2 linked regions of the Coturnix japonica genome follow. The protein of the gene in region 1 interacts with the protein of each later gene in a pairwise test. Links are inferred from orthologs where the notes say so. Each region holds a gene or a part of one and is shown in the gene's direction. Other genes may lie near its edges.

What was found.
Region 2: the proteins of UBAC1 (region 1) and RNF216 interact in binary tests that used the Homo sapiens proteins (3 or more experiments, as listed by UniProt). The link is inferred for Coturnix japonica from reciprocal best matches to the Homo sapiens genes UBAC1 and RNF216.

What each region holds. Positions count from the first base shown.
Region 1 is NC_029532.1:6,650,118-6,653,927, forward strand, and holds part of UBAC1 (ubiquitin-associated domain-containing protein 1), read left to right. Parts: intron 1-62; coding exon 63-149; intron 150-289; coding exon 290-428; intron 429-2,612; coding exon 2,613-2,728; 3' UTR 2,729-3,810.
Region 2 is NC_029529.1:4,311,028-4,314,937, reverse strand, and holds the start of RNF216 (E3 ubiquitin-protein ligase RNF216), read left to right. Parts: upstream 1-1,568; 5' UTR 1,569-1,615; intron 1,616-1,621; exon of another isoform or gene 1,622-1,799; intron 1,800-3,910. Other genes in the region: urotensin-2 receptor-like, read right to left, coding at 1-219.

The sequences.
Region 1 (3,810 bases):
GGTGAAGCATTTGGTTGTTCTCATCTGTTTTAAATGTTTATTAAACTGTGCAAATCTTATAGGCTGTCATCGCCCTAATGGAGATGGGATTTGATGAAAAAGAAGTGGTAGATGCACTCAGAGTAAACAACAACCAGCAAAATGCAGCCGTGAGTACAGTGTCATTTCTTTTCCTTGTTGCTGTCATAGTCTGTTCATCTGGTTATTTTCACTGTAGAATTGGTTGATCTTCTTACTGGGGATGAAGTGGCCAATCATGAAATCTGTTGTGCTTGATGCTTTCTTTCAGTGCGAATGGCTGCTGGGAGACAGAAAGCCTTCTCCAGAGGACTTAGATAAGGGAATTGACACAAACAGCCCTCTCTTCCAAGCCATCTTAGAAAACCCAGTGGTACAGTTAGGGTTAACCAACCCTAAAACTCTACTAGGTAAGTCCTGGTTGCGTTCCAGCTAAATATATTCCATCTGCAGTTCCTAGCAAATAGGATAGAGACAGGATGATGACAACACATACTGTGAAGTGAGTGCAGCTCTGTACCGTTTTTCTGATGATCAGCAGCTTATTTCATTTTGCAACTCAGCTGTAACCTGAACAGAGCTTGGGATGGCCCAGAAATGGTGCTAATTTCTTAGGCTACTAATTCACACGTGCTGAACTCAGAGCGTTAATAGCTGCTGGCTGCAATGCTTTTGTGGTTTTAGGAGACCTTTTGTGGTGCTCCCTTTGGCTGTGAAAAATAAAAAGCAGGAATGTCTATTTAGAACCCTGATGGCTTCACAGATAAAACAAGGCTGTCTCCTGCTGTACAGCTTACTGTGTGTTTTGCTCTGATCGCTGGAATGGAAGGTAATTAGTGTAACCAAACAAGAAGTCAGAACAGAGGCTTTGCCTATCAAAATTCAGATAACACTTGTGAAAATATGTTTTCCCCTTCTTGAGTATCAACTCTGTGATAAAGTCTGTGTTTTTGTTCATATTTGCTGTGAGCACAGCAAGGACTCAACTGATAAAACCAATGGTGAAATGCAGATCTCTTATGTGTTGGCCTCTCTGGTGCTGGAGGACAATGCAGAAGAATGACAACAGCAGTGTTGTATGTATAAAATCTTGCATTTAGATTTTGGCTTCAAACTTGATTCAAAATTGTGTTTTGAATTGAAGGGTGTATACATGGCTTTTTCAGGAGAGCTTTTTAAGATGCTATTTTAAATGTAATTAGGAGTGTTTGCAAGACTTTAAATAATGCAAGAGCAGAACCTTCCCACTCTCATTTCTGAACAAATGGTCTCCTTATTTCTAAAGACGGTTCCACTCTTCAGCTCAGAATATAAATAGAAAATGAAATGTCACTATATGTGCTTGTAAAACTTATATGAACCTTAGAGAATGTATTTGAAATGATACATAAGCAAATTGCTTATGTCATAGATTTTAACGTTAAATGTTTGTATTTAACTAGATAGCTAAGGAATGTTGATAAATGTTTAGTTTTAAGCTCTTGAGTCTATGTAAAAGAAGACAGTTGAAGTGGTGAAAGGTGAGATCTGTACGTTATTCTGGGCTTTGCTGCAAGCATGCAGTGTGACCTTGTGCAAGGTGTTAATGATGAGCCCTTCAGAGGGCCTGGGTGCTTATGGCTCCCACTAAGGTCACTTAGAGTTTTGTACACTAATGCTCCTGGAAAGGTTCAGGCTGGCACCCTGTTGCTGGACTGCCGGGTTCTTCTAACACTGACCTTTTGGTGACTTCTGAATAGGTCAGATATGCAACTGCTTTTTTCTGTCCTGTTCCGTAACGACTGCTCCAATGTCTGCTAGTCTGGCTCAGTGTCATGAGGTTATAAATTATTGCCTGGATCATTCTTTAGCCAAATTTGTGACTTAGCTCTTGCGCTAAATGTCTGGTTCCCTCAAAATAAAGAGAAAAGGGGAAACTAGCATGTAAAAAAGAAAAGAGAACAAAGCCAAACTAACTTAGTGTAAAAACAGCTGTCCATAGAAAGGAAACTTAACAAATTCTTCTGCCCAAATGTCCCAATTCTGAGATGGACGTTTGGATCCCAGTTACGTGGTGTGTTACCTGCTACTGTAGCCAGTGTAAACAGAGAAACCCTGCCCAGCCCTCTCAATACAGCACTGGAGGCTACTGCAGCCATATCCCTCCCTAAGGAGTGACTGAGGCACAATCTCTGGCATGTAGGCAGCAACCTCCTTTTCTCCTGGGGTACATCGGTCTGAAGAACATTATTACATTAAGTTCTATAATGGAAAAGTTCTGTCTGTGGACTTTTGCAAAGTGGGTAGCTCTTCAAACCCATGTCACTGAGGTTATGTAAGGTGGGCTGTAATCCAGACTAAGTGTTTGATCAGCCTCTTCCTGCGATAAATGTAATGCTGAGCAGTGAGGAAAGCGTAACAGCATGTAGCACCCCAGTCTGAAAATGCAGGACAACAAATGGTAACCATGTGATGGATTCTCACCATTTTGAGGGGCTGCTTGCCTTGGATAAGCTGTAAGTATTTCTAACCTTCCTGTTGTTGACGCATCCCAAGCACTGAAGCGTATGCTGCTAGAAGACCAATAATGTACAACGATTTCCTTCTCTTGGCAGCCTTTGAAGATATGCTTGAAAACCCCTTGAACAGCACTCAGTGGATGAACGATCCAGAAACTGGGCCTGTCATGCTACAGATCTCTCGAATCTTCCAGACGCTGAATCGCACGTAGAGGGGAATGCCAGACCACTGTGCCACTTCCTGCTGTCCCTTGTGTCACCTTCTCAATGGGGAGGGTGCATGGATTGTTTGGGGAGGGGGGGAGGGATGCTGTCTGAGTAGGGGTCTCACACGAGAGCTTATGTAGTTATGGCCAGCTGAAGTTAATTGCCTTGTGAATTTAGTGTTAGTGGAAGAGGTTTGAAGACTTGTGTATGTTTTCAGGTGTTAGGTTAAAAATAAAGTATATCAAAAAAATAGGAAAAGGTTTTGTGAAAACAATTAAGAATCTGCTCGTCAGAAAGAAATATGATATTGCTTGTTAAAAAAAGGCCCGTGACAGTAGTTTTCTAGCCAGTTTTACTAGCACCTGGCTAGTGTTTACAAAAGGTCACTGACCACTAGCATAGGACATTAATCATCTCCATGCAGTATTAATTTATGGCTATATCAAATTATGAAATGCTTTTTAAAATTGATTCTTAGGAACTATTTTTTAAAAGTCCAAATACTGGGAGAGCGAGCACATTTCTATCCAGGCTTGTTCGTCTTGCATTATAATTCAAAGAGAATAATTCATAGATGGAATTCATTTAATAAATAGCATTACTTTTTCCTATTTATTTTCTGCGTTAGTGTTCTTCCAGTCCGATGGTAGTTACACTTCTCAGAGGTTGTCAGCTATGTTAGAGATGCAGTATCTCCTTCACGGCAGGACTTTACACCACCACTTGGATTCTCCAGCAGGCTGCAGTTCATAAGGTCACCCTATGCCATATCTTAGTGCAGGAGGGATATCTTCACATGGTGGGTTGTGAGGTTTTTTTCCATCTTTCTGTGCACGGTTTTGCAAAGGGGAGCTTGTATTGTTGACTGTTTCAAACTGTTTACAAAATAGCAACTCATTTGCATGGGTTTTCCCTGAATGGTGATCTGCAAAGAAGCAGAAACACTTTGGGTTTTATATATTGTTTTTAACGTACTTAAAAGCACGCTCGAAACTAATTGCTTTGAGATAGAAATGGTTATCCTTGACTCTTTCTCTTTGGAAATATCAAGAAAGTCAGGCTGTGTCACTCCTAGTTTTGTTGGAAG
Region 2 (3,910 bases), on another chromosome or scaffold:
GATGATGTAAACATACATGGAGCCGCTGCGCCTCATGGAGACGGTGGTGACCACCAGTGTGTAGATGTTCCCCGCCGTGCCCACCACGCACATGGTGCCCAGGATGCAACCCAGGAAGGAAGTGGCCAGGAGGTCACTGGTGCTATCAGACGTAGCGTTGAGTTGGGTGCTGCCGTTCTTTGGATAGCACAGCTCTGGGGTACACGCGCCAGGCTCCATCCTCACTGCCCCCTCGCAGCTGGGACAGGACCTCACCAGCAGCCACCCCTGAGGTCACTGCCTTGGAGGAGGGAATCCTGAGCTGCAGCTCCTGGTTGTGTTGTCCCAGCTGCAGCACCCGCAGCAGTGGTAGCGCTCAGCTCCAATGTGTGGCTCTTTCCTGCGCAGCCTGGAAAAGCCATCCTCCATGCACCCGCCTTCCTGCAGCTGAAGGAGGGACGAGGCACGGACGGAGGTGGGATTTGTCCCTCTGCCCTCCAGTGGGATGGAACACGGCGGCTGCTCCCATTGCCACCCACTGGGATGCTGGCACAGCTCCTCACTGGGAGGGAGGTGGGAAAAAAACACCGATTTCTCCATGTCAGAAACTTTTCCTTGGGGTTTTCTCCTTCTCAGAGGATGGGAAGGAGAAAAGAGCAAACACCATCACCCCAGAGCTGATGGCAATGGGAACCTTGCGCTGGCACCCACCCCTATGAGACCTTCCCTCCCTGCAACTCCAGCGTTAAGGCAGAGAGCAAAAAGCTGCTTCGAGCAGAGACAAAATGAGTGACGCTGCCAGGAAAATGCAGCAGGATCCTCTGGAGTCACATCAGAAACCTCTGCATCAGTCCAGGTCTGTGTTGCCAGCTATGCACCCAGGCTGGTTGACTTTGTGCTATGGACTGCACAGAGCAAAAGGGCTCCCTATGGGGCAGCACTCCTTGCAAGAAGGCGTTGGGTATCAAAGGGAAATTAGCATTGCTGCTCCATCCTCTGGGCACAAACAGCACAGCAATGGGGTAAGGGAGAGAGGTGCAGGACAGGGGGGTTATAAGGAGCGTGTTGGTTTGAGGAGGGGGGATTAGTTGGGAGTCTGAAATGGGGTAATGGGGCAGTGCTGAGGGCTGGGGAGTGCTGGGGAATGCTGTGATAGTGCTGGGAATGGGAAGGGAAGGAGGGGGAGTGAGGCTAAAAAGGGTCTAGATTAGGAGGAAAAAAAGTCTTGCAAAGGCCCTAAATGAAGATGGGGGGAAATCCTGGCAGGGTTCTAATTGGAACGAGGTGATGGGAGAGAAGATGCCCTGCAAAGGCTCAGAAATGGGGGAAGAAGGGGAAGAATCCCAGAGAGAGCGACCCTTGGGAGGGCGGTGAGTGTGTGGGGCAGCTGGAGGTGGGGGTCCCATATATAGACCACAGCCCTCCCATATAATCACAGCCCTCCCTATGGTGCGGCCGGCCTATAGAGCTCGCTCCGCCGGGCACCACGTGCGCTCGTGATGGCCCCGCCCCCTTTGTGTTAGCCCCGCCCCTCCCTTTAGCCCCGCCCCTTTCTGTTAGCCCCGCCCCCTCCGTCACCGCGCATTGCCCGGAAGGTGGCATTGCTCGTGGCGGACCGCCCCCCCCGCACTCTATGGTACGTTCTCCGTGACGGGACCTCCTTGGCCGCCCTTCTGTCCCTCTCCTCTCGCCCCATTTCCCCAGTTCCCGCCGTTCCACTCTATGGTGCGGGGCGGGGCGGTCACGTGGCTCTGTCAGGCCGGAAGGAGCGGGGCAGCGGCGGCTCAATGGAGCGGGGCCGGCGGGAGGTTGTTGTCCCGGTGAGTAGCGCTGCGGGCAGAGCGGGGGGCAGCGATTAGAGCGGAGCCGTTAGAGCGGCCTCACCTCGGGGCTGCTTCGGGCTCCGCTCCCCGTCACCCCGCCGTGCTGGGCGCTGTGTGCTGGGCCTGTCCCGGGCCCTGCTCCCCGGTGCCTCCCGTCCGTCTGTGTGGTGCTGGGGGCGGCTGAGAGCGCTGTGTCCGCTCAGCCCGTCTGTGAAGTGCTGTGGTGCAGCCGCTGCTTTGGGACTCGTGGTGCTTTGCATTGAGAAATGGTGCTGCTGTTCGGCTGTACTTGTGGCACTGCTGCAGTGTGTTGTGTTTGGTTCGAAGCGTGCCGAGCTGCTGGGAAGCAATAGCTGCGTGTGTCCGGCTGTTGGGGCGGCTGCAGGAGGGTCCTGGTCGCAGCAGGATGTGAGGTGTGCAGCAGAGCAGGGCTGGGTTACACCGTGCATAAGGTGCCTTACATACAGCAGGGTGAGGGGCTGTGTGAGGCCGTGGCTCTGTGTGAGCATGGAGCGGTTCTTGCTGTGTTCCCGTGCTGTATCAGCACACTGCAGTCTGTATCATGGGCCCTGTGTGCACGTTTACCGTTCTCACCTGGTATCCTCATTTCTAGGGCCTGCGCTGCACGAAGCTCTGCACCCTCCTCAGTCCTGTTGATGCTGTGAGCGTCTCAGTGCGCTGGGTGTCTGTGTAGCGTGGATAATTAGTGATCACCGTGACAGGAGCTTGGGGCTGGGCTCCTGGGGCTGGAAGGAGGTTCCCCCACTTCCTACAGCAGCACTCGGTGCTGTTTCAGTTTCAATGACAGTTCCCCTCTGCCTTTCGCTTTCCCCTCCTCAAGCACTTTCCTGTCTGCCATCCCACACGCTCCTTTTTAGGGCTGCTGCTCCCAGCTCAGTGGCTGGGGCGGGCTCTGCTGACGACAAGGTATGTTTTGCTTTACAACAAGGTGCTGGCAGTCTGTCCCAGCCTCAGAAGCTGCCCCAGAACTCCAGATTCCATGTCAGGCCGTTGCTTTGTCTGTTGGGAATGCAGCGGGTGCTGCTGCCAGCAGTGTGGATCCAGCGCTGCCTCTGACAGCTCTGCTCACAGCGTCGTGTCTCGTGCTTTGAAGCTGGTCACAAATTGCTTAAAAGTCCTGTGGCAAAAACAGGTGGAGTGCAACTCCAGCACAGCTGGGGAGAAGCAGGAAGTGTGACTGGGGGCTAATTAGCAACACCTGAGCAGCACAGGCACCACTAAGAGGGAAGCAGAACCCTCTGGGTGTTGCTCATTGCTGCTGGAAGAGGCTCCCATTTATTCATTTGCAGTAGGTGCCTTTGGGTTTGTTTTTTGGGAGCCACGGTGAGTGGTTTGCTGGAGCAGTGTGTTCAGGAAGGCTCAGCTGTGGTGTCAGTGCTTGCTGAAGCCACATTCTTTATGGGACAGTCAGAGCTACGCCACTAATTCTTTGTGTCAGGAGCCTGACTTATGCGTGTGGATTCGGTCTGGAGAGGACCCCTGTTCCTAAAGGAGAGGCTCTGACAGCCTCCAAAGTCTGTGCACACACTGAAGCTCTGTGCACAGTGTGCCCTTGTGGATGGGTGGATGTGTTTTGAGCTGCCCTGAGTGATTTCAACTGCTCTTAGCAGCATCTCTGCCCGCTGGGGTGAGTGCATGGCCAACAGCTTGAAGCATGCAGCTGATTTAGGACACCAGCAGCAGCCCAGGAAATAAGTTCATTGCTGTTCTGCTGTGGCAGTTCCTGCGCTGTGTTGGAGGCAGGCAGGGAGAGGAGGGGCCCTTGAGTATCCTGGGAGCTGGGGTGGGCTCTGCTCTCTGAAGCACTGAGGTGGAGATAGCAGCCTTGTATCACTGATGGAGGCCATCGTGCCCTCTCTGCCTTCATGTCACAGAACCTCAAGTTTAGTTTGAAACCAGCTCAGAGTGGTGTTGTTTCCTCAGGGTCGGTGCTGAAGAGCTTGTGGTCATTTCAGACTTGTAATGATCCTCAGGAAAGCTGAATTGCTTAGCAGTAGGAAATGCTGCTGACTGACACTGTTCTGCTGTGGCTCCCTGCCTGTGTTGCAGGGGGTGCTGTCAGGACCTGATGGAGCTGTGCTGGAAGC